2 linked regions of the Schizosaccharomyces pombe genome follow. The protein of the gene in region 1 purifies or fractionates together with the protein of each later gene. This does not show direct contact. Each region holds a gene or a part of one and is shown on either strand. Other genes may lie near its edges. The genes, in order: mxr2 and trx1.

The links.
Region 2: the proteins of mxr2 (region 1) and trx1 purify together in Schizosaccharomyces pombe (affinity purification with western blotting, with the first as the bait; one study listed by BioGRID). This does not show direct contact.

What each region holds. Positions count from the first base shown.
Region 1 is NC_003423.3:892,642-908,331, forward strand, and holds mxr2 (peptide-methionine (R)-S-oxide reductase Mxr2), read right to left. Parts: upstream 11,143-15,690; 5' UTR 10,932-11,142; coding exon 10,515-10,931; 3' UTR 10,276-10,514; downstream 1-10,275. Other genes in the region: squalene monooxygenase Erg1, read left to right, coding at 38-1,411; serine/threonine protein phosphatase PP4 regulatory subunit 3 Psy2, read right to left, coding at 1,924-3,722, 3,781-4,492; dynein-anchoring factor Num1, read left to right, coding at 5,434-8,340; SPOM_SPBC216.03 (uncharacterized protein), read left to right, coding at 9,301-10,044; ATR checkpoint kinase Rad3, read left to right, coding at 11,724-15,690.
Region 2 is NC_003424.3:2,622,612-2,638,222, reverse strand, and holds trx1 (cytosolic thioredoxin Trx1), read right to left. Parts: upstream 12,891-15,611; 5' UTR 12,767-12,890; coding exon 12,455-12,766; 3' UTR 12,368-12,454; downstream 1-12,367. Other genes in the region: sfp47 (SH3 domain-containing protein), read right to left, coding at 13-244, 415-497; protein ahk1, read right to left, coding at 1,352-4,012; autophagy associated protein kinase regulator Atg11, read left to right, coding at 4,854-7,634; SPOM_SPAC7D4.05 (hydrolase), read left to right, coding at 8,040-8,202, 8,238-8,314, 8,404-8,850; dolichol-P-Man-dependent alpha(1-3) mannosyltransferase Alg3, read right to left, coding at 10,420-11,640; SPOM_SPAC7D4.08 (uncharacterized protein), read left to right, coding at 12,891-13,181; oligosaccharyltransferase subunit Ost4, read left to right, coding at 14,185-14,283; dfg10 (steroid dehydrogenase), read right to left, coding at 14,733-15,557. UniProt on the Schizosaccharomyces pombe protein: Participates in various redox reactions through the reversible oxidation of its active center dithiol to a disulfide and catalyzes dithiol-disulfide exchange reactions.

The sequences.
Region 1 (15,690 bases):
TTTTATTTGTTATTCTATTCTTTCTTGATTATCCACAATGGCAACTCAAGACGCTGATATTATTATTATTGGTGCCGGTATCACCGGCTGTGCTTTGGGCGCCGCTTTGGGCCGCCAAGGCAGAAAAGTGTTGGTTTTGGAACGTGATATGTCTGAACCCGATAGAATTGTTGGTGAATTGCTTCAACCAGGTGGTATTGAAGCCTTAGAGAAGATCGGCATCGCCGATGCTGTCGAAGGCATTGACGGTCAATGGACTTCTGGCTATCAAATCTTTTATGGCGATTCAAACGTTTCCGTTCCTTACCCCAGCAAGCCCAATGGCGGTGCATACCAAGGAATTGGTTTCCATTATGGTCGCTTTGTCATGAACCTTCGTAAAGCACTTACAAGCACCCCCAACGTCACTGTAACCGAGGCCACCGTCAATGAACTTTTACGCGATGAAACTGGTGAGGTGATTACCGGTGTTGTTACCAGTTCTAAAAAGTCCGAGTCCCCTGTCGAGTACAAGGCTCCCTTGACCATTGTTTGTGATGGTTGCTTTTCCAAATTTAGAAAGGCTTTCATCGATCACCCTATCCAAGTCACCGATCACTTCTTGGGCTTGATTTTGACCAATCCCGATTACATCGCTCCTGGTCGTGGTCATGTAATTTTAAGCAAGGTTGCTCCTATGGTCCTTTACCCAATTTCCTCTACTGAAGCTCGTATCTTAATCAACTACCCTGGTAAGAATTTACCCCCCATGGAGACTCTTAAAAAATACGTTTTAGAATCATGCGTCCCAAACATGCCCGAAAAGCTTCGCCCTTCCCTCAAGGCCGCTGTTTATAACGATCGTCTTAGGTCCATGCCTAACCAATTTTTACCCCCCACTGTCAACCGTACCAAAGGTATGATCCTCGTTGGCGATTCAAACAATATGCGCCATCCCCTTACCGGCGGTGGTATGACTGTTTGCTTTCACGATGCCTATCTTCTTTCCCGATTCATTTCCCCTTCCGCTGTTCCCGATCTTCTAGACTACGAGCGCATTTTAAACCAAATGAACAAATTCCATTGGAAGCGTAAGGGTTACAGTTTTGTAATCAACGTTCTTTCCATTGCTTTGTACAAATTGTTTACCCCTAAAAATCGCTATATGAAGGCTCTTGAATCGGGCTGTATCGATTACTTCAAGCGTGGAGGTAATTGTGTTGAAGGTCCCATTCGTTTATTAGGCGGTTTAGACCATAGCCCTTCTCATCTTATCGGCCACTTCTATGCCGTCTGTCTCTATGGTATTTACCAATATGTCTTGTCTGGTCCTGCTTTGCTTATGCCCGTCCGTATCATCGAATCCTTATTGATTTTCTTACAAGCTTCGCTAGTAATTATCCCTTATATCCTTAGCGAAATGTCATCCTAAGTTTGCAGAATCAGTTCATTAAAATTAAATTATTTTTGATTTATGAATTGGTTGATTATGATTGTCTTGGCAATCACTGATAGCTATTTGGTTTTTGCCTTGTTTGGTACGTCGTTGTTTTTAAAGAAATAGTTTTAGATAGAGTTGGGTTCAAGTTTGTAATGACTTCACACTCTTTTTGTTTATTATATAAATCCCTCTGTTTTTCAAGAGTTATAAATTGCCGTTTTAATATAAAATACTTTTTTTTAATTTTTAAGCCTACTAAGTACAATTATTCGTCAGCGTTAAGTAAACAATTATCCCGAGACTACAAGACCACGATAGTAACATGAAAATTGGTATTTATTATTTTAAAAGTCCCTTAATGAACAACCCAAATCGTTTATATTATACAGATGAGTTTTCAAAACAATGATAAACCCGGGAACAAAAATACGATGTCCATATGATGATTCACTTGCATTACAATCTTCTAGAGTTTTTGGAGCTTCCCTTTTTATGTTCATCTTCTAGGAAGCGTAGCCATTCTGGGCAGAACTTGAATCGATAGAGAGTCTCTTTTTTGGTGATTCATCATCAGCTTGCTGATCATCAACTTGGAAATCCGATTTCCTTTTAGAATAACGGGTGTTTGAAACATTAATACCTGAAGATTCTGCAGAGGTATCATAAACTGCAGACTCAAGGAAATAACGATCCTCTAATATAGGTTGCTTTGGCTGCTCGCAACTGTCTTCAATATTTAGCTCAGCAGGGGCTATAGAATCAAGAACAGTACGTTGTCCAACTTTTTCTGATAATTCAGTATCGTTTTCAATAGAAAAATCTTGCTGTATTTCCCAATCTTTGGATACGTCGTCTCCAACACGTTGGTTATTATTGGAGGCACCGTCAAATTCATAACTATTTGATTCATGAGTCCCAACAGTTTTAGGGCTTCTTGAGTCAGAGCTTAAGCCATCTATTATATTTAAAAGCTCAGAAAAAGTACTGAGATTATTTAAAGATTCCAGCTGTGGTCGATAGTTTTTATTGAGATAATCCAGTGTATCTTCAGATCCCTCGGATCTTAAAAATTCAAAAAACTCTAAAGCAGCTGAGTTGACTAAATTAGTTTGGTCTTTGACCTTTAACATCAAGTCCAGAACTTTTCCGTATGTGTCAGTTTCTAACATGATCAAGGACATTTCTGACTGACGAGCGGCCAAACAAGAGCGAATAAATCTAAGGGCGCTCAAAACAACATATTTTCTATCGCTGTATAGTAATAGAGCCACTTTTGATGTAAGGGTTTTATATGTATCAAAACGACGAGACCAATAATCGTGTATACGAAAAAAATAACAAAAAAGCTCACACAAATGCATATACATATCAAGCTTTTTAACATCTAAACTCGATACATTTTCCAGCTCCAATAAAGGAGCAGCAAGCATATTAAAAGAGTTATCATAAAAATTTTCAATAAAATTAATTCCAATAATGTTATCGGTTTTATTTCGAACATTTCCATCAGCATTTCTGTAAGGATTATTGTATGCATAGCTACCAGGTAAACTTAGTAGCATTTTAAAAGCTTCAGAAATTTGAGCAAGTACTCCAGGATTTGATTCTTTATGCAAAATGTTAATTAAATTGGAAAGCAACGAATGTTGGGAAACGTGAGCATTGCTCAATGAAGAAGAAGCGTCCTTGCGATCTTGATCAAACTTTTGCCAAACGATGGCAGGTTCATGATCAATAATAGACACCAAAATATCGGAACCAGCATTTCGAACGGAATTGTTCTCATGTGACATTGCATAATCCAAAGCTTTCAGAAGATTAAATTTAACGAAAGTAGCAAATAATGCAGAGCAGGACTGGAATTGTAGCCCTTTAGCGATGTTGCAAACCTGCTGAATAAAGAATATACCGTCTTGCTTGCGTTGATCATCCTCGCCTTCATTCACATAAATGCTAAACAGTTCATGTAAAAATTTTTCATTTGTTTGAAGGTATTGAATAATATCAGCCTGGTTAAAGAAGATAAATGAATTTAGCACCGAAAAGGAGGGTTCGTCAACAATCCTTGAAACGACAACATCCCTTAGATACTGAAGCTTAAATGTCTGGTGAATTTTTGCAAGAATCCGTGGATCCTGAATGGGAACCACCTGCTTAAACTTTTTGGAATCCATTAAATATTCCCGATGGTTCGCTTTGATATTGGGGAATTCCGGATCGTATTCGAGAATACCAGCTACACACATTAGCTTTTCATCATTAGAGAACAACGATTCGAGTAAAGGGGCGTCGTTCAATTGCACTGACAGCGATTAGCAAGGATTTAACGAATCTAAAAAGTATAAAGTAGATTAACATACCAAAGCTTTTTATTATGGAACACAATCGATGAAGGTCATCTGTATTCTCTAGATCCTCACACAGAGGAAAAAGTTCAATAAGTCTATCAATATAATTTTCATTTGAAACATAACGAACCAAACTATCTCTTGATTGAATAGACTGCATATATCCATATACTGCTTCTTCAATTTCTTTTAAATTAGCAAGCTCTGGGGCTGGAAGATCGACCGTGTTTAGGTAGTTTTCATTAAGCGCCCCCTCATCCGTCAATATATCATCGTTGGAGTAACTTCTAGTTACCGATGATATTGCCTTTTGAACATTTGCTAAAAACATCCACATGTCTATACAACCGCTAGATTCTTGAAAGCTTAAAGCAAGATCAGTACCATTCAATTCTTGCCAGACTATGAGAGTTTCTTCTTGACGGCTGTATATATCTTCCGCAATCAATTGTGTTTTCAAAAGGATGGTTTCATTATCAGCTTCTGAACGCACAATGAAATAAGCCAACGGTCCCTCTATTTTTCCATCGCAATAACCGGTGCCACAGTCTACCCAGTTTTCATCTTCCATTTCGTACACTTTTACACGTCTGGGAATCGATGGCACTTCGATCTTCTGCAATGCAGCTGCAATTGCTTCGTCTAATTCCTCTTCTTCATTTTCTCCATCTGAAATTTCATCAATATTATTATTTAAATCTTCCTCTTCCTTCGTAGAATCCATTTCTACGGCGGATTAAGGGTAGACGTCAGCTTCGAATTTACGACGTTGGCGTTCGTCACCAAATTTTCAAAAGTGAAGACGAAATTCAAACGTGGTGGTGAATGAATGCAATACCGTAGATTGCACCAAGATTGTAATTATTAATAAATGTATTTCTCATTAAATGGCAATGCCGCTTTACTTAATTATTTGGTTTGCCTAAAATATAACAAATAGATTTGTTAAGCAGTGTACTATGTATATTTCACGTGCATAATTTTGAAGTGTTATGGCAGAATTATGTTCTTTATAGAGTCAAATAACTATTATATACGTGATCGTGGTGCTTTCAGTCACTATTTTTCATTGTAATTCGGTATCTGTTTACAACAATATCATTAACGGACGTTATGCATTTTAACGATGAGTACTTCACCGCTCGGTGTATATGCTGTAATCAATCCTTATATCGAGTTGTGTTTTAAACGTTTTATACTGTCTACAATTAGCATTTAAATCTTTTCGAAATAGTAAATAAACTAAATATGAATATAAATAAAGTTAATTATTGTCTAAACACATGTGTAGCCTCGTCAAATCAATTTTTTGCAAGTCAATCATGAGGCTCAGGGTACATTTGTAAAGTAATAGTTAATTTTTAAGTACAAACTAATGGTATTTATACCGATATATATATTGAAAGCTGCTAAAGCTTCGCTAGATATTCAAGTACTCTAGCAAATGCATCAATATAAATACAGTTTTTTTGCTTTTACTAAGTTTTATTGTTAAAGCGTAATACGAGAAATTTGCCAAATGAGAACACGAATTGAATTGATATAATTCCAGAAATAAAAATTATGTATTCAAGACGATGACTGTTGCGATATGCATGCTTACGAGTTTATCGATATATAAAAGACAAAGAGAGTTGAGCTTACCAAAACATATACTGATCCTTCATGGAGAAAAAACAAGATAACGAGGTGGAATTATATTCAATTGATTTAAAAAATAGAAATGAAAGTGCAAAAATAAAGCTTGCTTATGCGAAAGCGTTAGAGGAAAGCATTCTTTGTGAAACACGAAAAATCGAACAAGAAATTAAAGACCAAGTGGTTCAAAAGGAAAATAAAACATATTTTAATAACAAATTTGATAATCGATATAAATTACGCGACTTGGAAAAAAATTTAGCGGAGGAGGAGGTGAGAATTACGGAGATGCTTACTATTCAACGTCAAGACATTGCAATTGAAAGAAGGAAGAACACAAATTGCTTCAGTGAGTCTTCTCAAGTAGATCAATATTCAGTTACTGAAACCAATCTACAATATGCTACTAACATTGGCTTAAACCTTCTGCAACAGTTGCGGTATTTAAGGCTGCAACTGTCAGAGAAAGAAGATTTGCATAAAAAGTTGTCAGTGGATAATGCCCATTTAATCAAGCAACTTGATCTACTTTCTTCAAACATGAAAACACTTATGAAAGAGAAGACTAAGGTGCAAGGACAAAGGGATTTGCTTGAACAAAGACTACAAGGATTAATGAAAAAATTGACAGAAGTAGAGTCTTTGACCGTTTCACTTAACGATGAGAAGAACAAACTGACATTGGAATTAACAAATTTAAGAATTTGCCTTCACGAGCTTCAACTGAATGCCGAAAAAGGCGAAACTATAGATGAAAGTGAAGATTCTAAAAATACTTTGGTAACTGAGGATGAAAACGACGATTCTGTATTTTTGGAGTCTTCCTCGGATAAGTATTTTGATAGTTCATCTTTTGATGCGGAGCAAGAAGAGAAACACGATTTTCCAATAGATCCTTTTTTGTCGTTGGAATCCAATGTACAAACTTCGGTATCTCAATCATCGGCCGTTCTCAAATCCATCAATTTAGCAAAACAGGAGTTAGTGAGTGTAAATCATTTGGTAGCTGACGATACTAAAACACCGTCTCCAAATTTATCATCGGAAATAATTGAAAACACAAAAGCTGACATAAAGAAATCAATCAGGTCTCTGAACAAGGCAGTATCACCAGAAAACTCTATAGACATCGAAGATGAAACCGACAGAGATGATGAGTTTATTTGCTTCCTTTTGTCTTATCAGCAACTACAAAAGGCGCTGAAAAGTAACTTGGGCCTTTTTCAGCTTTCTTGCTTGTACCCACTTTCTCTGAATCATCTTATTCAGTCATTCTTTCAATCTCTCACCTCTCAAATTTCAATAAAAGATATTGACTCAAAAAATAAACAAGTCATTAAACTTTTCAAACCGACTAAAAGCTCAGATCGCCAGGAAATTTTTGAATTGGCTCAATTTGAACCTCGCCAAAAATTTCCTATAGATACGAATTCTTCAAAATGCGACATGTCTGCAAGTACTGAGATGCATTTGAAAGATACTGAAAAATTTGCTAATTTCAAACTAAAAGAAAACATTTTAAATCATTCTTCTATTTACGAACGTGATGTTTCTTACCTGCCTGCATTAAACAAAGGTGGACGTGAAAATTATTTAAACAATCGCGTCTCCTCTTATAGGCTTGTTAAACCTATTTTAAATTCCTATGGAAATCATGTATTAAACCGTATACAACATGATATTCTGGAGAATCACTTCTGTTGTCTAAAAAATGTCAAAGACTTTGTATGTGGTGCAAATACAATCTCCATGCAGTGGAATCTGCAAAAGAATATGGAATTTATCAGCTCTGTTTTTTCCTTAATAAAAAATGAAGTAAATGACACATCAGCTAATAGTGTCATTCTAAGGACCGATGCGCTTTCAAATGTTGCTACCACGAGGTTGAAAAGAAAATTAACTAGCGCTATTATTGACTGCTCGATTCCTCGTCGGAGGTTGCGCCACTATAGTAATCCAGAAATAGCTGAATTTAAGAATTTTAGATTATCTACGGATATTTCCCACAGTAATGTTAGGAATTCGAAAAAGCTATGTTCCAATGGATCTATGAATTGTATGAGGCAAGGCAAGGCAGTTTTTCCTCGAAAGATCCCATATCAAGAGCATGACTGGGAACAATGGGAAAAAATTGCTCAATCCTCGATGTTTAAGAATCGTTCAATTGCTTCACGTCAATCATTGGAAACTTCTGATGTTACTTTGGACATTAATATGTCTTCAAGACATTCAAACGGAACTTCCTCAATGCTTTTCAAAGACTTTACAAAACATAATAATTGGGAGGCGTCAACTTATCCGTCTGCACCTAAGAATACTCGTACTTATCCAACAGCTGAAGTTGAAAAAACTCGGCATGATTCCTCGCAATCAGCACGTCAATTGAAAGCAAGAAGTACGGCTACGACGATTTCTATTTCCTTGTCGACGGTGTCAGACGTATTCACCTTACCTCGCAATAATCTCAAAAGCAAAACAAATACGAAAAAATGCAGAGATAATTTGAATCTATCAGGTTTATCTTCTTCAACTTGTAATGCAAATTCTGTGAACAAATTGATGAAACATGTCATGATGGGAAACGAAATGATGAAGTACCCGAGAAGTGAGAGTTTCAAAATGTTTAAAAAGAGTCATTGGCGCTATTTTTGGATTAACCCGCATTGTGAAATGCTGTGCTGGTCTAAAACAAATCCATTTATTGAAAAAGGAAGGAAAAATCAAGTCAAGTCTGTGAAAATTAAGGGAATGACTATTATAAAAGCCCCAGATGCCTTAAAGAACGCCAATTTACATAATGAAGTTATTGTGATGCAGACAACTGATAAGCCCATCGTCTTAAAAGCGAAAAGCAAGAAAATTCACAATATCTGGGTTCAAGCTATCAAACAAATAAATCATAAGGCTATCTTTGATACTAAGCCCGGCATTTAAGCATGTTTCAGTCATTGCTTATAAGTTTTAAAGTAAACTGTTTCAATATTCCCTAACAACTTTTAAAGTTATACCAATTGTTTTTATTAAGCGGCATCAAATAGAAAGATATTAAACCACTGTAAACAACTAAGAATCAAATGTCTTAATCAGTTTTGTAAATGAGGTTTATACGATCAAGCTTTATTGCAATTCGACATGCACTAATGAGGATGATATACTTTCCTATTTTGTCGAAAAAATTGCTCTTTCTATACAATTCATTTTTAATCAATCAATTTATCATACGAGACATTTAAATAGCAAACAAAAGACGACTAACGTTTAAAGGTAACATCGATAATGTTAGTTTTATCAAAACAAATTATCCCGTATAAGCAAAAGAAGATTCAGACTTAACCTTGACGGAGTTTTATGTGCAAAGAATTAAACATTGCTATTACTGGTAAACATAACAAATCTGGGCGACTTTCAATTACTGAATGAATAATAAGCAACCTGTTAAATGATTTTAGTGCCCAGATGCACTTTCCGTGTATTACCCCAAGAACTTTTAGCGAAAGTTAAAAAGAGCACAATATATCTGGCTAGTTATTTTACTGCATCGTTACATCATGTTAAAACTATTAGAGCTTACCATACAAAAACTGAAAACGTCACATAATTAACTCGGTACTACTAATTAGGTAAACCGTGCTTTTGCTCATTCCCTGTGGTGTGTCTCTTCGATTCAATTTTGTAGATTGTTTTCATTTTCCTTATTCCTTTCTTTTTTTAAGAGGGGTTTGACAGATACACAGCATTTCCAATTCTAAAAATTACTCATTTTAACAATTGCCATTGCTTTTATTCAAAGGATCAGCTAATTAAGTTCCTTTTTCAATAAGGGAGAAGGATATATTGGATTCTTGATTCCCAACGGTTAAAGAAATCATCGTCAGCATTTTTATTTTGTAAGAAATGACTGTTTTTGTTGTTTTTGGAGGGCATGGAAAGGTGGCCTTGCTTTTTACTAAAATTGCTACAGAAGCTGGCCATATAGTTTACAATGTTGTACGTGATTATGTTCAGAATGAAGACATTGAAAAAGTGCATGGCAGAACTTCTGTCTGTTCACTTGAGAAGGCGACGCCTAATGATATTGCTCAGTTTTTAGCTGAAATACACCCTGATGTTGTTATATTTGCAGCCGGTGCAGGAGGTAAAGGCGGCCCTGAACGAACAAGAGCCGTCGATTATGAAGGTGCTATAAAAGTTTATGATGCTATGAGGATAGCTGGTATTCGACGCTTAATTATGATATCTGCGATAGATAATCGTGATATGAGCCAACCTCCTCCTCCTTACTATACGGCTGCTGATATAGAGCTAAGTGAGAAAATACATCAGTCAATTGGAACTTATTACCATTACAAGTACCTAGCGGATCAGGAATTAGTGCGACGCTCTAGTGATATTGATTGGACGATTTTACGTCCTTCTGGTATGACAGACGAGAAGGGTTCTGGAAAAGTTGCATTGGGTAAGATATCCATAAATTGTATGATGTCTCGTGAAAACGTCGCGCGTACTGTACTACTGTTCGCTCTTGATAATCAGTCCATCCATTTGGTGGTTGACATGACGGATGGAAATGTGCCAATATATAAAGCCATTGCTGGATTCGTCGTAAAAGGAGAATCATCCTATACTTATTCAGTATAATGTAATGACATTTTCGGATCCTTCGCGTATTATTGTAGTCCACGCATCTTTTACTCCTTTCTTAAAATCTTCTGAAAAAAGAACGAAAATTTTTCAATGACCTATGAAGCGTACGCAAATTAATAAATATTTAAGTGAGGGATACTTTAGTTATACCCTTTATAGTTGAAATAAATGGAAGATCATATCAGGTAGTGTAAACATTGTGTTATCGTTTATTAACTTTGGCATAAGCAGCTTAGTTATAACATACGGCTAGTAAATCTAATTTCTGACCTAGAGATTACTACACTCTTTGAAAACAAAATATATTAGTTTAAAATGTTAAAAGTAAATGCATTTTATTGAAGTTAACCAAAACGTGAACAAGCAACTTTAAATAAAATAATAGCCGTACATCAAGCACAAACAATTCGAACTGGTGCTAACATCTAATAAAGAAAATACAGAAATATTAAGCATAATCTAGTTCAATTGTCATTTGTTGCCTCATTATGGAATTCCAAACTCGCCGAATTTATACAATGGCGTTCGTCAGTAGGATTAGAATAACCTTCTCCTTTAAAAATATGGCCTAAATGACCACCACAGTTGGCACAAACTGCTTCTACACGATGCATTCCATAAGAGTTGTCTTCAATGCGTTTCACCTTTCCAGGTAAATTATCGAAAAACGCAGGCCATCCACAATGGCTTTCAAACTTTGTGCTAGCTTTATAAAGAAGCTCTTTACATGCAGCGCAAACAAAAACGCCCTGTTTAGGGAACTGATGAGTGAATCGTCCTGCACCTGGGTGCTCAGTACCCTTTTGTCTCATAATTCGATACTTCTCAGGACCTAGCTCCTTTTTCCATTCATCTTCGCTTTTTTCCAATGGAAATCCCATCTTTGTATTATTTTTGACGTTTTGGACAGGGTAGGAGACGTTATATGCACGTTTCAAAAGATTCGTAAACTTCGTATTTCCACAGATTGAAAAGTGTGTAGTAATCACTTTTTTCATGAAAACACAAGACGATATGTACCACAACTGGCACTACAAAAATTTTCAAGTAAGTAAACGACTTTTTGACCACTATTTATGTGAATAGGTAGGTACCAAGTAAAAACTGCTTAGTAAGTATAAAACACAGAAGAATCCGCGATCTAGTGAACCAATGCCCTGCGTATGACGCTCCACTGACGCTATAGTCAATGAGAACTAGGATGTGCGATTATAACTTATCTTTTCAATATTTTCTTATTATTTATTTAAGAAATAATTGAATTAAAACTCATTTCTTCTTTTATTAGCCGTAAAATAGCTTATTTTCTCTCCTACTACCTTTCAACAATAACTTTTTTTTTTGTTTATTGACCATTATAATCACATCAAAAGTCAAAAAATTCAATCATTATCAGAAACATCCAGCCTAATATTACTTAAAAGTTAGTTTCCTCTGAAAATTCAGTATCACAAAAGCTCGTTAATTAGCATCGCTCGATACTTAGTGCACCATGCATCTTCCTTTACCTCGTGAGTGGAAATCGATTTGATAATCGATTGCCACTTTTCGCATAATTCTATTGAGATATTTTATTACTTACAATCGTCTTTTATAAATGCTCAAGACTTTGAACGCGCGTGTTGCGTTTTAAAAAGGCCTTTTTTTGAATTGAATCAATGGTTTGATATAGTATGAGCCAACACGCAAAAAGGAAAGCTGGGTCACTCGATCTTTCACCCAGAGGCTTAGATGACAGACAGGCTTTCGGACAGCTTTTGAAAGAAGTATTAGCATTAGACAAAGAACATGAGTTAGGTAGAAGTAATTCTTTACCATCTATGACCTCCGAGCTTGTTGAAGTTTTAATTGAAGTTGGTCTTCTAGCTTTTAAACATGATGATTCAAAATCTGAATTTATCTCTCCTAAGATGCTAAAAGAAGCCCATCTCTCTCTACAAGCGTTAATGCTAATCTTAAAAAGGTCTCCGACAGTTTTGCGGGAGATTAAATCATCTGTTACTCTTTTGGATTGGATTTTACCCAGGACTATATCATTGTTTGCTGATATTCGTTTTATTAAGTTATTTGACTCATTAAAAGAGTTTCATAAGCTAATTTATCAGCTAATCAGTGAAAAGTCATTCCTATGGGACTTATATGCTTCGTTTATGCGTTATTGGAAATATTATATTACAAACGTTTCTTCTATAGTTCTCCAAATCACTAATGCTACATTCCCTTACAAGATGCCCTCACCCAATTCTCAACCATTGCAGAGTATCACCCCAAATTATCCAACCCATCGAGAGGACAAATTTGATTTACTTATCATTAATATAGAGGAGGCTTGTACATTTTTCTTTGAAAGTGCCCATTTTTTTGCACAATGCTCATATTTAAAGAAATCCAATTTTCCTAGTCCACCTCTCTTTACAGCGTGGACTTGGATCAAGCCATGTTTTTTTAATTTTGTTATTTTATTAAAACGAATCAGCATCGGAGACTCACAGCTCTTTCTACATTTGCATTCACGTATAGTCCAAACTTTATGCTGTTTTTCCTTGAATTTTATATATCATGGCCTTCCCATTTGTGAAAAATCTAAACATATTTTAATGTCCTCCATCAACTTAACATTGGGATCATTGAAGAAAACTTATACAGTTGCTAATACTGCTATATCTCTTTTTTTTCTCTCTTTATTTGTTTTACCCAAAACTGTAGCTGGTCTATTCTATCCTTTTGGGGTTTCCTTACTTTCTGACTTCAAGGTATTAGAGCAACTTGAACCAGATTCTGATCTCAAAAAGGCAATAATATTATTTAAGTGCAGATACCAAAGTTCAGAAATAGATCAAACAACTCTCCGTGCTTTTGGCGAAATTTGTACTGGTAAACTTGAAAACACGTTGTTTTCTAACTCTGAATTAAACCTTTTTCTTTTACATTATCTTTCCTTGGACAATGACTTGTCAAATATTCTTAAAGTGGATTTCCAGAATGGTCATAACATATGTACATTTGCAAAATGGTGTATAAACAACAACTTAGATGAACCGTCTAATTTAAAGCACTTTCGTGAAATGTTAGATTATTATAGCTCTCATAATGTTACAATAAGTGAGGACGACCTGAAGAACTTCTCTTTAGTTTTGTGTACTCATGTTGCAAAGGTGAATGAGAAAACAAATAGTATTTTCCGCACATATGAAGTACATGGTTGTGAAGTTTGTAACTCATTTTGTTTACTATTTGATGAGCGGTCGCTCTTTAAAATTCCTTATCACGAATTGTTTTGTGCATTGCTAAAAAATCCCGACATAATTTCCTCTTCTGTTAAACAATCATTGTTGCTTGATGGCTTTTTTCGGTGGAGCCAGCATTGCTCAAACTTTAATAAAGAATCAATGTTAAGTTTAAGAGAATTTATTATGAAAGCATTAGCCAGTACTTCAAGATGTTTACGTGTTGTTGCTGCAAAAGTTTTGCCCATTTTCATTAAGGGACCTAATAATCTTGATATAGTTGAATTTCACAAGGAAAGTAAAGCCTTGATTTTTAATACGTTGAAAATATTGGCGGTGGAAAATACAGCTATTTTAGAAACGGTCATTCTTTCCTGGATCTCCTTATCTAGAGTGGTAGAAGAAGAAGAATTACATTTTGTACTATTGGAAGTTATATCTTCTGTGATAAACAGCGGAATATTTTATCAAGGCATTGGTCTCAGCGCTCTGCAACAAATTGCCTCGACGCGTCATATATCCGTTTGGCAATTACTTTCTCCATATTGGCCAACAGTGTCCGTTGCGATTGTCCAAGGTATGGGTAAAAAACCGAACATAGCCAGTTTATTTGCTCAGCTTATGAATATTTCCGAGGGCGATTTTCTTATTCGAACACAGGCGTACACTTTACCATTCCTTGTACTTACTAAAAACAAAGCGTTAATAGTACGTATAGCTGAACTTTCACAAAGTGATGTTGCTACTTTGTGCCTTACCAATATGCATAAAATCCTTGCTTCGCTACTTACTACGGATCATCCTAATTTGGAAGAGAGTGTGATGCTTCTTCTTTCACTGGCCACTTCTGATTTTGAAAAAGTTGATTTAACGTCTTTGTTACGCTCTGATCCTATTTCTATTACTGTGGAGTTGTTACAGCTTTATCAGAATGATGTTCCTCATGAAAAAATTGAAAATGCTTTAAGAAAGGTAGCAATGATTGTCTCTCAAGTGGTTAATGACGAAGACTTGAGCAATAAGGAATTACTTTATGATTTTTTTAATAATCACATTTTGGGTATCTTAGCAGAATTTTCTAATATCCTTAACGACCTGAAAGGAAAGACTTCAATTAATGAAAAGATTAAGACAATTGTCGGCATTGAAAAAATGTTATCTTTATGTGGAGGTGCAGTCAAACTTGGATTACCACAGATACTTTCTAATTTACAAAGTGCTTTTCAAAATGAGCACTTAAGGTTTTATGCAATCAAAGCTTGGTTCAGTTTGATATTAGCAACCAAGGAGCCCGAGTATAGTTCAATTGCTGGTTTAAGTCTTGTAATTTTACCTCCTTTATTCCCTTATTTAGAACCACAAGAAGCAGAGCTAGTAATTCAAATATTTGATTTTATTTCTTCTGACACACACAAGTGCCTACAAGGATTAAAGTGGGCTATCCCCACCAGTCTGGATTCAGCGTGCTTTAGCCTTAAGGCTAAAGAAATATTCTGTTCGCTTCAAAATGAAGATTTTTACTCTGAGCTTCAAAGTATAATTAAGTGTTTAACTAACGAAAATGAGCCAGTTTGTTATTTAGGTTTACAAAAATTAGAACTTTTTTTTCAAGCCAAGGTGGACGAGTTACATGACACACTAAATTTGGACATATCCAACGAAGTTCTGGACCAATTACTAAGATGCCTTTTAGATTGTTGTGTAAAATATGCTTCAACAAATATGCAAATATCATATCTTGCTGCAAAAAATCTTGGTGAATTGGGTGCGATAGATCCCAGCCGCGCCAAGGCTCAACATATTATTAAAGAAACAGTTGTTCTTGATAACTTTGAAAACGGAGAAGAAAGTTTGAAGTTTATTCTAGATTTTATGCAATCGCAGTTAATTCCAGCTTTCCTTGTTACTACTGATACTAAAGCACAAGGTTTTCTTGCCTATGCTCTGCAAGAGTTTCTAAAGCTTGGTGGATTCAAGTCCGCAGTGATTAATAAAAAAAAGGGACTAACTGTGGTAACAGAACATTGGATGTCTTTGCCTGATTTATCCAAACGTGTGCTTATACCATTTTTAACTTCCAAGTATCATTTAACACCAATCCCCAAAATTGACATTCGGTACCCTATTTATAAAGAAAATGTTACTATTCATACTTGGATGCAGTTGTTTTCTCTTAAATTGATGGAGTACGCCCATTCGCAAAACGCTGAAAAAATATTTGGTATTTGTTCGAAAGTAGTGAAAGACCAAGAGGTTAACATTCCCTGTTTTCTTCTTCCCTTTCTTGTTTTAAATGTTATTTTAACCGAGTCAGAACTGGAAGTTAATAAAGTCATTGAAGAATTCCAGCTTGTTATTAATCAACCGGGACCTGATGGATTAAATTCCGTGGGGCAACAAAGATACACCTCAT
Region 2 (15,611 bases), on another chromosome or scaffold:
TTGTTGCTATACCTTAGAAATAGTTTCATTGGAGAATTTATTTTCTCTGTCAACATATTCTTTCATAAACTCTTTAACATGGGTCTGAAAGTAACGGGACGCTTCCAAATGCTTCTTGTTACATTGCATAAGTTCTACGCACACCTGTTTGGTCAAATCATTTAAGGGTGCACATTGCTTAATCGCTTTAATTGATTTCGTCAATTTTGCTAATTTTGCAGCATATTCCAATTCCAATGAAATTCTTTATAAAGTAGATTAGTCAAAGTTTGAAATGAATTATTACACATTTGTGTCAGTTCGAAATATAATAAGGATAACCCATCATTAAAAAAATACTTAAAAATTAATGATTCGAGAGTATCAAATGGAATAAGATGCTTCTCTTCGAAATTAATTTAAGCTTCAACTTACCTTTGTTCAACAAGCTGCTGCCAATTGTTAAGCGCCTCAGTGCTGATTTCTGTACTGTACTCGTTTGAAGAAAACGAATTCATTATGGGGGTATCTCTTTCTTAAGTTAATTCGTATAATTCAGCTTAATGAGACATTCATTGTTTTTTTTTGAGTTGGTAAAGCATGCGACACTGTCAAGTTTCCAACGCGCATTAAATTTGAAGTAACAGAGGTTAATGCTGTTATACTATGCCGAGGGCAGTGTAAAGAATATGCAGAAGCTCTAATTAATGAATTTTTTATATCTATTTATTTATTTATTTATTTATTTTATTTGAATTTATTTTGATATAGGAAATAATGCTAGATTATTGTTGATCTGAAAAACAACTACGGCTTTCCTACTTTGAAATCTGCTAGATAAATTAGTAGATAACACGTAAATTGAATGCCTGTTCTTTTATAGAAATCTATTGTAAAAAAAATAAACATTCAGCTTTTGCCGGGGGGATGTATATCTATTCTCTAGTTGATTCAATTAGTATTGATAAATGACCTTTAAATTTTCTTTGATATACCTTTTCTTACATACATTAGATATACATTTGACATATCTAGTTTCAAACAATTCAAGTAGTATTTTCAGTTTTTTGCAGCTAGCAGACAAAATATACTCAAGCAAATTGCCCACATTAAAGAAATGCTTCAAACCTGTTCCGTTTTATAAAACGTAAGCATACTTAAAAGATTTTTCAAACAATATATTAGCTAACTAAAATGAAACAAATGATTAAAAAATTTGAGCTTCCAATATACTTATCAGAAGCAACTGATAAAACTAAAAAGAGCGGATATCGCATACAGATTTAAAAAAGAAGGACAGTAACATAGATATCAAGCAAATTCTCAAAATGCGCAAGGAAAATAAATAAGTTAATCAAACAAGATCCATTCTTTAATTGTAGATGTTAGAAGCATACGATTTTGGAATACGGACAGTTAACGTGGGTGCCTCCATGTCCTCCGTCTCGTTTCCTTTGCGTAAAGAAAGCGCATGATCAAATTCATTAACAACAAGGGCCCATTCAACTAATGCACGGCTGGTATAGACTAACCTTTTGCCGTTTACTGAAACACCTTTGATGCTTGACAAGGGGCAGCTTATATGATTGCTGTTGTACAGCAACATCTTCGACTGGACAGGAAGAACTCCATGTGATGAGCGCTCTAAGAGAGCGTCATATTTTTCCTTGTTTTTCCCGAGGGAAGAAAGAGGTTGGGATGGAGAGAACTTGAAAACAAACCGGTATTTCAATGTAGATTTTAACATTGAATCAGGATTATCTACCAAATCAGTAAACACATATGAATTCGAAGCAGAAAGAGTATGATGATAAGCAATTTCAGTTTCAGCAGGGAGACCAGATACATTTTTAAAAAGCGACCCAAAAGCTTTTTTCAAACCACTCGAAAAGCTATTTGAAATTGAGACGACATCAGTGACTAATGCTTGAATTGTGCCATCATCTTGTTTATAATTGGAAAGCTCAAATTCGGTACTCTCCGAATTACCATAATTTTGATAATGATTACAAACAATGGTTAACCGCCTCATTGGAACAGGTTCACTGGGTTTTGTGATAGGAGATGCCCTACCGTTTACGAGACATTCTTCGTGGTAAAGAGCTTGGGCTGTGAAATAATGCTTTAAAAGGTTTTTTACACGTAAAGTAACTGTACCTTTAAATTGGAATTCTTCCATATCATCAAGCTTTAAGAATCTCCAACATACAAGGCGCTGAAAATAAGCTCTCACAAGAGGCGACCAATGAAGAAACAATTCCTGGAAAGTATTTTCTTCTAGTAACCATTGCAACGTTACCAATTCTTTAGATTTTATATCTAAATATGGCCAGACAGCATAAATGAAAGTTATACTACGAACAATGGACATATTGTGGGAAGTTGATATTAATCTTTTGGCAACTGAAATCCAAAAAGAAAAATCAAAACGGTGTGAGAAATCGTTAAATACCCCGAAACACTGTTCAACAAGAGAACACAGCAAGAAACAAGATTGAAGATTAAAAGCAGGGGTGTTTTTGGCAACATTAATTAAAACTTGCTCTAAAACGGCTAATAAACGCATCTGCTCTTGTCTGCAATCCCCAATCTTTTTAAAAGCATCTTTAATATGTCCGACAAACTGTTGAAGAGTCGATAAAGTCGTGGCAGTTACAGGCATCTTAGGATTGTATTCTTCCATTGATGGATTTACTTCTGGTAAAGTCTTACATGGAAACTGCTCATGTCCTGTAGGTAACATTAATGGCTTTTTGTCGCTAATATGTATAACCGAAATGGTTAATTCAAGAAGATAAGCATGTAAGCATATGTAACCTGGAGCGAAATATATGACATTATCAGGTAATTCGAAAGAGAATTGCAAAGCTAAAAAAGAATGATAGCATGATAAAAACTCGAAAAAGAATCCACCTGTAGAAGACTTAAAGCGACGCATCCATGCTCGTGTGAATTCAATAGGCTGCCTATTGTAACCTATAGTAAAAGGCGTTGAAGTTCGTTTTGGGTAATACGGATGCATAGTCGAGGAAAATTGGTCAGTAAAAAATGGCGCAAGATACTTATGTGAAATAATCATTATTTTTTCGTCGAAGGATGAGCCCAAAGCATCAATGTACTTTTTCTTTACATCTAATGCGCTCAAGAAATGGTCGGCAAAAAGTGGAAGTTGAAAAAAGGAGAGAACCAAGATACTCGCACAAAATGTCGTTAATGAATACGGCAAGGACTTTTGAGAAAGCAGATGAACTACAAATGTCAATGTATCGTAAAGTATTAATTGGTGTTCCAAGTACAATAAAGCAGAGTGTTCCACTTTGTTCCAACAATGATGCTTGGCGATAGCAAGTATGGCCTTTGTATATGTGATACGTTCTGAAGTAGAAATATTAGATTGTAAACGTCGAAGAATGGATACCCACCAGTTATACAAAGAATGCCTAAGTTTATCCAATTCCGGTTCGGAAACGTTTTTAGTGGTTAAAGAAGCCAAATGTGGTAATAAAAACCCTCTTATAAGAACTACCTTATCAGAATCCTGCTGATTAATAAAATTGATGAATTGCTCGGATAAAGGACACTTTATTGGAGAAACCAGTGGCTCCGAAAGACGTAAGGTAGATTGGACGGCCTTATTTATTAAGCTAGAAGGCGCTATCTCCTCCGCATTAAGGCGTAGGCTTTGAGAAGACAACTGAGAAAAAGGAGAGGTAGAACGAGAAGAGGAATCAGAAGATGATGATGAGGGTGATTCGTTGTAAGGCTCATTTAAGATTGTTGAGGAATGGCTTACTAAAGTGTTTTCATATTTACCATAATCATCTGTAATCGAAAATGGTTCAAAGTTCGAATCAAGGTCGTCAGCTACAAGCACATTGGTTGTATCGACGGGATCATGTTCCTGAATACATTTTACCACAACAGGATAGTTTTTTGTTTGGGAACCCGAATGCTCTTCCTCTTTAAAGGAGGCTGTATTGGGAGGACCCATAATAGCGGCAAGGATCTCATATCGTGATTGAAAGTCACCCATTCAGAATTTCAGAAATGAAGCTAAATGTAAAGAAAAGAATAAGTGTGAAATGCAAATAAAAAGAATATAATTAATCCCTAGATTAAAACCAAATTAATTAACATGAGCCGTGCAATCACCACTAATAAAGAAATGAAGATTTAAAGGACAAGCTATGCAAATGCCAGAAAAAAATGTACCAAATATGCTAAAAGATGCTCAAAAGTTTTTCCTACAGTAGAGAAATTTTGACTTTTTTAATTTTTTAAAAACTTTATCGATAAAAGACAGAGAAATCGGTAACCAAAAGATTCGCGGTTAAAAAAACAAGAAAAATACTTCCGAGTTTAGAATACTTGTATTCTAAAAGAATGAAAAGTAAACAAGTAGAAGATATCTTTAAATTAAATATATGAAATCCGCAATGTAAATTAGCATCCCCAACACTTTCGTTCACACCCAGTGTAGATGCTTGGTTAAGGCTGAGTTTCCGAACCCACCAGCTTGAGGGTATACGGCTACATATGACATATATTTCAGTAGACAAACATAATAAAACCAATAATTAAAATTGTTTTTTTAAGCTAAATGAAAAGACATTTGAAATTTTAAGCTGTATTGTCTTACAGCTTCAACTCAGTGTTCATACAATGCCAATCTCCTTTTGGTAGTTAGTACCCAACAATCGCCTAAACCAAATAGAACCCGCCAACTTACCAAACAAAACGGAATATAAGGACAGAGAATAACTATATGCAACGGATTATAAATAACTGATATTGAGTTTTCTTTTAGATCAAATATTTCAAGTTTAATGTTGGGGAATCGCGAATGATAAAGTTAAGCAATACAATAGGTCAGTATGCGTTTTCGATTGAATGATTCATTCTCCGGAAAGAGTTGGACCATAGATAATGTACAATGGACTCCCCAAAATCTTGTAGCTTGGATTATGGAGCTCAATATTGGACTTAGTGATGAAGCAAAACTATTATTGCCGAACGGAATGTCTTTGAATGAAACCGTACTAAATAGTGAAAGTGATGTGGTTATTTACGTACTAGATCAAAACTTGTTGACTTTCACCTACGATGGTGATAAAATTCCTTCTATTCCTTCTCTGAAAGGACAACCAATATCTAATGTACTTACTGGGATTATAGCTGATTCTTCTTCAGATCAATGGAAAGATAAAATCAGCAAGTGTCTTTCATTATTATCTGATATTTTAGAGTCTTCTTCAAAGATTCATAATCAATTAAGCGTATGCCATGATGAGTATTCTACTAGTATTGTTTCTCCAGAAGTTGCAATGAATTATTTACAAAGAAGACAATCTGGTATGAAAGATTTACTTTTCGTTTTCTACGAAAGACTAGATCGAGTATCTGTGTCTGATTTACTTCATGATTTCCTCGCTCTACCAACTGGTTCTTTACCCATTACTCCTCTTAAAATACTTTCAACAAATTGGACTAAATTGGACTCCTGGTTAAACTCCATTTCAGCTCGTTATGCTGAAGCTCAAAAACGAGTCCAACAGTGCATTGGCGCCGCAAATAGTATTATCGTTTCCCCATTCAAGGAAGTTCCTTCAATCAAGGAAGGAGATGATGCTTATTATCATCTACGTTCCGTCGCTCAGGATGCAGCCAATATATTGCAAGAGATCCTTAAAATAGAGTCAACTTCAACTACTTCTCAAATCAAACCAAAATGTAATTACGAAACCGAAATTACTGATTGCATGGAAAAACTTCAAAGTAATCTGTCGGAATTAAAAAGTTCTAGAAAGTCATCACTAATATCTTTGAAATCTTTTTGGCTTTCCTTTTATAAGGTTTCTCTTAGATATGATGCATTGTACGAATATCTTCGACAAATAGCAGAAGAGCTTGACAGAAGCAAATTCGTTCTTTCTCAGTCTCGAAACATTTTTTCGCTATATATCGACATTTTAATGGAGGCACTGAGGAGGACTGAATGGCAGGAATCATACAATGTAAGCCATGATAGTTCTCTTCCTTTAGACCAGGAGAAGGAGCTTTCTCTTAGGAAGTCTTGGCTCAGTCATTTCTCTAATTTGCTTTTTAATCATGGCCAGCTAAAGTACTTACCAGTTTTAACTCGTGACGAAATTTCTAATTATTTACTCAATATTCAAGCACATCCGAATTACCAAACTTTTCATCAAATGCTAAGCAATCGGCTCTCAGAATATTTGGGCTTTCCTGGAAGTCCTCGAGAAGCCGTTTCCAATACGGTTCAAGCGAACAATTCATTACATGAAAAATTGGCAATGTATCAAAATCGTTGCAATAATTTAGAGGCAATGTTAAGCCATCAAAACGGCTTTAATTATAACATTAACAATGATGGTTTATCTCCAAATGCTCCACATCCACCCATCAATGAGCAGTCTAATTCTTCTCAGCCATTTTACCGTGTTTCCCCTAGTATTGTGCCTCTAAACGTAATTCGTAAATTAACTAATCGCAAAACTTCTTTTACCGACAGCCACATATTACGACTTCAAGATGAGGTTAATCAATTACGCAACGAATTAGATTTGGTAAATAAAAGAAATGAGGACTTATTAATTGAGCTTCAAGGGAAGGAAGAAAAGATCCAATACCTCGAAACTGAAAATGAGGAAGTGCTACAAAAATACGAAAATTTACAGGAGGAACTTTCATCAACACGGAAACTGCTTACGAAAAATGAAGCGGCAGTTGCAGAACAGCAATCAAACGAGGAGATGCATTCTAATGAACCGAACATATTAAACCTTTACTCCGTATTTGAGGGCAAAGTTGATAGCTTGCAAGAACTTTATAATGCTTTCAAGCTTCAACTCACGAGTTTGAAGCAAAAGGGCGAATACGCTACTCTTGCAAAAGATGCCGAAGCAGTACAACATATTATTGAAGAGAGAGATTATGCTCTTGCAGAGAAAGCTGATTTACTCAAACTTTCCGAGAATCGAAAAGAACAATGTAAGATATTAACTCAGAAACTTTATACCATTGTATTCCGGTGTAATGAGTTACAGTCTGTTCTTCGGGAATGCGTTACTCAGCCTGGATTTGATTCAGATAACGAAAGAGATGGCCATGCATCGATTCCAGATCGCCAAATTGAATTTAATTCCAAAGATTTACAGTATCTTTATTGGATGGATGGGGAGGATGCTGATAGGAATTTCCAGGAATTTTTGAACAGAATGAGTTCTTTAGATTTTGACTCTTTCCATAACTTTGTTGTCAGTGTTTTGACTCAAGCACATAATCATGAACTTCGTTGGAAACGTGAATTTCAATCTAACAGGGACAAGGCGCTGAAAGCTATTTTGGACTCTCAAAGTAAAGTCTCATTAAGGAATTTCAAACAAGGATCCTTGGTCTTGTTTTTGCCTACTCGACGTACCGCCGGTAACAAAAAGGTGTGGGCGGCTTTTAATGTTAACGCTCCTCATTATTATTTGAACACTCAACCGCATTTGAAACTTGAAAGCCGCGACTGGATGTTAGGAAGGGTAACTTCCATTGAAGATCGTACTGCTGATGATTCGACGGATAAATGGCTTCGCCTGCCTTCAGGTACAATATGGCATTTAGTGGAAGCTATCGATGAAAGATTTTAAATCATTATGTGACCTAGCTTATACCTTCACTTGCTTTTTCTTTGCTTGTATTTGTGGGACTGATTCTATATGACAGACATTTGGTATTATCATACTTCTATTTTTTCAGGTTTTGATCTGTTATGGCATTATTTACTGAAATTTGTTTTTTGGTCTCGCCTAGTAAGGTATCCGACGTAAATTAACGACTACTATTGCTGTAGCGTGTCTCTCGTCTTGTAACATGATAAATTTTTAATGAACTTTTAATCTATTCGTATATTATTTAATATGTAGAACGCAATCGCTCGCAATAAAAGTGATTTGCAAATATTATTTATCACACCGAACAACGCACTGGTGGTAAGGAGTACCTTATGTAAATTGCTTTGTGTAGTGTGTCCCATCAAAGTACAACCTGGAATTATGATTCCCTCAAAAAATATCCAAAAGATCAAGTTGGTTACGTTCGATGCTTTTGGAACAATCCTTCATTTAAGTAAACCTGTTCCAATTGTGTACAGCGAAGTCGCTCAGAAGTATGGAGTTCATGCAACTATTGATGAAATTGAACACAATAGTAATAAAGGTTAGCTTTTGGTTTCTATTTATCTAATAATTTAGCATTCAAGGATTTCAGTGAAAAGCATAAGAATCATGGAAAAAAGTCAGGATTAAATCCTCATGACTGGTGGATCAAAGTATGTGTCTGAATTTCATTGAGATTTGTGTTTTGTAAAGAATTGAATCTCTTGATTTCTAAAAAACCTTTACATGCTAACAATTTTAGGTTATCGAACATTCTTTTCCAACTCCTGTTCCTGCAGAAATGGCTGAAGAGCTATGGAGTTACTTTTCCAAAAAGACGGGTTACACGATTCATCCTCTTCTGATTGATTTCCTTAAGAGAAATAAAGAAGAGAGGAAATACATTATTGGTATTATTTCAAACACAGACGAAAGAATTCGTACAGTGCTTGAAGATTACGGCATAGATCATCTAATAGATATATATGCGTTTTCGTACGACGTTGGATTTGAAAAACCAAGCAGGGAAATATTTGATTATGCTATGGAAAAGGCTGTTAAACTTCTTGGACAGGAGATTCAACCAGAAGAATGTATGCACCTAGGGGATGATTTAATAAAAGATGTTTCAGCAGCAAGAAACATCCAATGGAATGCTGAATACTGTGACATAAAAACCAATTTCCTGAAATATTTTGAACAGAAGTAAAATAAACGCAGTCAGGTTTACCGCGTATCCAACATTCATATCTGGACCCCTTCTTCAAGGACCTAATGTGACAATAAAGGTTTCACATTTGAAATGATAATTTTTTCTTATAAATGAATATTTCGTCAGAATTCTAATAAATGTATAAATTGATTATATTTTCAACAAAGCTCTGTTGTTCCTTTGTGTACTAGCTTTTGACATTGAAGAAAAATTATATTTATGTGATCCTTTTAATTTTTTAGAGATTGATCTATTGTTGTTTTCATTATACAAGGGCGCAAATAAGTAAACAATGAATATTCCGAAAAGACATGAACATGAAATGGCTAATGCATATGCATGCTAACGAAAATTTAAAAAATGAAGAATATGCCGATAAACGCAATAGCAATCCTTTTTATTTTCTAATTTGAATGACCATTCTAGTCGCGTTATTCCAAGTCTAGCATCCATGCTACGAGAATAATCGTTAGACCAACAATCTAGGGCTCAGTTATGCATTTGCTGTTTTTACGGGTTCAAAATCTATACAGAGTAGCTCACAAAATTCTTTTCTTTAATGGAGTGTATACTCTATTCATAAATATTGAAATTCGAAGAACTGACGCAAACCGAGCAAATTCGATAAAGCATTTATTTAGCTAAAGGGATTTATGCTTTTAAATTATCTAAATTTTATTTAACAATTAGTACTGGCTCTATATTTAATATTTTTAAGACATTTACATATTCACCATTATTCCCTCGAAATGCCAATATGCTGATATAAAGAAATATTTATTACGCTGCACTAGCTATAGTAAGATAAAAGTTGCTTTCTCACATGTATGCCTGCGTTTATAGTCATTCCCTTAAAAAGCAATTATTCTAAACCTTTTATGAAAAATATATTTTGAAGTGCAGTTGAAGCTGGTAGAAGTTGATTTTACTTATTAGCTTATTAGAACTATTACAAGTTACGCTAAATATGTTTTTTTCATAATCCATACTACGCTACATCAGACAAGAGGCGCTTACAGCGGTCGAATGTATCCTTAAGAAGTTCACATTATGCAAATAAACAGCAAATCACAAAATTACTTTAACGAGGGAACTGAAATATATAATGAAACCTTAGTAAAATGTGACTGTCAATGGTGCAAGCTATAAAATCAGCAACTTGTTTATTCTAATATTTGCAATAGTTGTGCGGAAAGCACTTGTGTTCTTAGCAACTGTTTGTTTTATATTTTAGAAACGCTTTTTTAAAAGTAATAATGAGCATTTGATAAAAACACTGGTGCTAATTCATTTCAGTGTCGAATGATTAAATGTATGAATTTTTATCAATCTGTCAATCCCCTGAGATTTTCATTGAAGAGAATATTCATCGAATTATGACGGCATAAAGATACGAATTAAAAGATTAGACTAATGTTCGTTTTTATAAGATGTTAATTTTCAAAAATTTATAGTCGGTACACAAATGAAAAAACTAAAAATTTTGTTTTTTAAAAACCATGAGTAATTAAAAGTGAAGTGTTTAAGCTTTTTATAAAGTTTATTTTGCGTATTAGTAAAGAGGGATCAGGGTTTTCTGTAGTCGGATGTGTATAGCTTCAAAATAGTAATAAGCGGCACGCATACAGCGATTAATGAAGATAGTTTAGTACTAGGAAAAACATTCCATGCGTATTCTTGTAACATCCATAAGCCAATTACTATCGGAGCAGGAAAACTAGCTTGATAGCATAGATATGGTGAATACCAAGCAAACCATGCATAAAATTGATAATGCAGGGATCTTGCACATAATATACCAATCAAATTGGATGTTGCTAATGCAGTAAAGATAAAATTAGGAGTTGCGAGTTGGAGTTTTGGTAAAGGCTTCAAGGTCAGCATGGAGTTTACCATTGCAAATGGTGTTGCTCTGCTCAGTTTATTCCAGTGTTTGCAGGTAAATGCAACTAGCAAAGCAACATGAAGAAAAAGTATTGATGTGGAAAATGATGTAGACTCAAAAATGCTGCGTGGAATGAATCTCCAGTTTACTGTCCACTTATAATCGAATGCTCTGCCAAAATCAAAGGCTTGAGTCCAATACGACCAAAAATAGGCAAGGAAGGGAATAGAAAATAAAATTTGTACAATTATAATAACAAAAATATGCATCCAGGTCTTTTTGGGCCCCAAGATTTGGAGCAAAAGAACTAAATAAGCTGGGACATAAAGCAAGGAGGACATCTTGACAGAACAAGCGACACTTAGTAGAATTGAAGCTCTAACCCACTTTTTTTTGCATGAAGACAAAATAAAAAGGGAAGAGAATAAACTGTTGAATCCATCGTTAAATAAACGTAAGATAAATATACTGTGTAGACGTTTTGAAAGTATAAGCAAAACATATATATAAAAAGGAGCGCGGACAATTTTAAACAAATACCCTACAATAGCCGTTGTAATCCAGTATACAAAGGCAAAAATGTATTGCGCCCTTACAATGTTGGTCCCTCCATCAGTAAGGTAGTACAAAAGGGTGTACAAAAATACGTGCCCTCCAGGGTAGACCAGAGGGCCTGTACATCCGACAAGAGATTTATAATCTCTTTCTCCTAATAGAAATGAATTCACCTGCTCCATGTAAGCAATCCAGTCTATCTCCGTGTAGGGAACTTTGGAAATAATAGCAAAGACAAAAGGAATTTCCAACAGAAGGAGCCTTGAAGGATGTAACCAGCCATAGGAACCAAGATCAAATAATACCCGAAAAGGATTAAAAGAATTTCTTGTCTCAACTGAAGACATTGGTTAACTTTTGATAAAATACGAGACTTTAGCAAATAATGTAGACAGATCCCAGGTTTTTAAGAGTAACGCTTATTATAGACAATGGAAAATTGGTAGAGTTCTTTCACATAGAAAGGAACTCCTTTTTGTTTAAGAAAAATTGTGTTTTTAATGAAACTCGTTAGACGAACAATGTATGTTAGGATGTAAGTGTTAAGAACATGTCGACGGAGCGTAATCATTACTGTGATTTTACTCCATAAATGTGAAATTTGATTGTTATAAAACAATACTTAACGAGAATATTAAAGATTTTATTCTAATAGAATACAAAAATATGTTTGCTACTCAGATCAACATAAATATTCGTTGGGTTAATTGTATAATGTTATAAATAAAGAGTAGCATGTATTTGAGCATGTAATCAAAAAGGATATTTATTCATCCAAATGGTATCATTCCAAATTGGTATACACTCTCCAATGTCTATCTTAGAAGGATAGGAGAATAATGTAGAACAGAGTCACGAACGCCTAACCAAAAAGTCGTATTAAATATTACAAATGCTCAAGGCGGTCGCAAATTAGCTAGCTTGTCTGAAAAATGCCCATGACTAGATTACTACGCCTGGTCGATGGCACATTACTATTATTGCGATAATTGTACGCAAATCGCCGTTCTGCAACTTCAGTAGAAAAGATGCTAGGACAAAAATACTTTTCCCAATAAATTACAACGGTGCATACACAAAGAAAAGCAAAACATTTATTTTTGTTAAATAAAAATATTTTGTATTACAAGTTCATAACAACTAACTATCAGATTGCGTAAATTAGAGGTTCGCCTTAATAGAAGCCTCTAATTTAGCAGGATTAGCACCTACGATTTCTTCAATCTTCTCACCATTCTTGTAAAGGAAGAAAGAGGGCATAGCGTGAACGCCAGCTTCAGCTGCAATTTCACTTAATTGATCGACATCAACCTTGATGAAAGTGGCATCAGAGTAAGTGTTGGAAAATTGCTCAAACTTAGGAGCAATGGCCTTGCAAGGTCCACACCAAGTAGCAAAGAAGTCGACAACGACAAGCTTGTCTTGGCAAACAATAGATTTAAATTCAGAAGAGTCGGAGACTTGTTTCACCATGTTGTATATAAATGAAATGGGAAATTAAGTTAAAAATATATACTCAAATAAAGAAAAAATCGATTTAACGAGTAAACAGAAGTAAACCTGAAAAATTCAAAAGACGTTGACTTCAGGAGTGCAAATGAACTTTGTCTCTAGTATACTTATACGATGGTGCGACGTGCCCGTTTATATATTATTGAGAAAATGTGTAATTTATAAGTTCGCTTATTCTAGTAGAAAGATCGAGAGCGTACATTGTGCAATCACCGACGATGAGGTAATGAGCTACAATAACGAGGATATGGTGCCATTCTCTGCCATCAACCTACCAATTCGTTTCCTAATTTTCTATAACGCATTTCGGAGTAATACTTCATGGAATTACAACGAATCACAAATCGGAAACCTGACAATTAGTAAACAAAGCTAAAGAAGCCATCTTGTTGTTATGTCAGCTTGTTAATCGTGGATTCTCGACAAACATGAGATTATAAGCAATTAAAGCATCAAAATAATAAGTATGTAAATGTAAAGATTTTCTTTTTTTTTGGTAAGCTGAAAGATTATGCGTGCTCTTTTCTTTGCTGTACACGATCTAGTTAGTGGAGTCGAAGTAATGTTAAGAAAATTTTGTTATAACAACTGAGGTACTGATATGAAATTACAAATTAAAAGACATACAAAAATGTAAAATAGTGAGGCGATATTCCTACTGTTAACAAAATCCATTTTACATATAAATGGCGGTAGAAATTGGAAAAGGAGTATAAATATGCAGTTTATAACAGTGTCACATATACTTGAAATTCTGAAATCAAAAAAAAGTTAATCGCCAGTCAAATAATTCTTTGCGGTAGCTGAACTTTCGTTAGAACGATGAACGATATTTTAATTTATGTTTTTTCCATGCTACTTCCTCTAGAAACGGTGTATTGAACCATCGCTTTATATCAAATTCACGTTATGGCGAAATAGTACAATGCAGTTTTCAGCTTGAGAGGGTAACCTTTTACATACGCATCCACAGTCACTTTTTCTACAGCTACTTTGGCTTTAACAAAGTAGAAAGTTACATTTTTTTTTTTTTAATCAACGGCAATTATAGGGATGGTGAAGAAATTTTTTTTTTTGAAATTTTTTTACGCTCTTTCGAAGCATTCACATTTTAGACATCCAGAAGCTATTGAGCAGCAATATGTATTAAAGAATTCGAAAGTACCGTAAAATGAATTTTCTTTCTTCTTTCTTTTACCTTATATACCGGCAGTCTTTTTCATCACTGCAGTACTGATATTCACATTTCAAGTAGCAACCGTGCTTCGTTACTTTATGAGAATGCACGGCAATTCAGGCTTGGACCTAAATACTTGTATTCCCAACTTGTACCGAGCACAAGCATCAGAACTCATTTCCTACAAAGGATCATCTTAAAAATGACAGACGTTCAACTTCAAAATATCGTTACCACCTTTGGTATCTCCATGATGCTCTTAATCATCCTTTACCATTACCTTTCACGTCCTCAAGCATAAAAGAAAGAGAGATTCATGTCTGTTTGTCTAACTTACCTTTATAGCTGCACTCTTCGTCTACGTTTTTTAAATTAGTCACTCTTTCAATTAAGGGAAGTTACCTTTGGTATTGTTGTGAAATGGAATTTGTACCTGCATATCAAAATGATTATATTACGAAACAAAATATGTCTTATTATTTGTTCCGTTAAATATTGGATACACTTGTATTACTTTTTTCTTATTTTCCTATCTCTTTTTCCTTCCTTCCCTATTTTCTACATGCTGGCCAAATAACTTTTATCATCTACTGTTGCTTGTACTAAAGTGCAACATAAAATAATAATACATCTTTAAAGTTCGTCTCTTCTCAAACCCCGACTAAATATTAATACAAATTATCTTTTTTTTTAATAAATGTTATTTTACACAATCAATAAGAATCGCGGTATCCTGACGGCACGCTTTTCTTAGTATAGAAAAGGTATAAGAGTCCACCGAAAGTCCAAACTTTGTTCTTTGTTCTTGACCGTACAAGCATAAGAAGAAGAGATTGCTACCATATTGCAAAGTACCCATCCCAAGACTAGCCATATTAACCAGTGTTGGGCAATCAGTGCTATTCCAGTATAAACAATGATTTCTCCAAGGTAATGGGGGCCAGTTATCCATTTAAAACATCCTTTTTTTAGGACTAGATATTGCGAATGATTTTTTTGAGCAATCAAATGTTCATGACTTGCATTCTGCCAAATGCTGCCTATTGCGTAAATCCCCAAACCAACAAATTGCATGCTTGACATTGTATTTTCATAACTTCTTCTACCGCACAAAAGCAATGCAAGGAATGTATGTGTGTAAAACAGGTATCCCAATAAATAATGACCAGCAAGCATTTTCGAACCGCTTTTGCGAAAACGTAGATTCTCATATAATCTACGCAGCGTGTGAATTTCATAAATTAGTAGGAGTACTTGTAGCTTTTTACTGTACATCAAGTCCTCTTTGATATTTTTAAATATAGGAATAGGAAAATTGGTATTTAGGATAAAAAATGTAAACAATGGATTCAAGAGGGAAATAAACGCGTAAAAATGCCAAAACCACCGTTTAGGTACTTCAAGCTTGGTAGCAATTAGAGGAGGCTTTAACCCAAAATTATCATGACCTCCGTATTTCATTAACCAGCTTAGACTAGGCGCGTTTTTTAAAATACTAACAAACAGAGTTGTGCTCGTAAAATATGCAGCTACCTCAGTCAAGAGTAACGAATACCAGTTATTAAGCAGTTGCATTATACAATGCGGTGTCCTTTGTCGGATAAAAGATATATGTACTTTGTAAGTCAA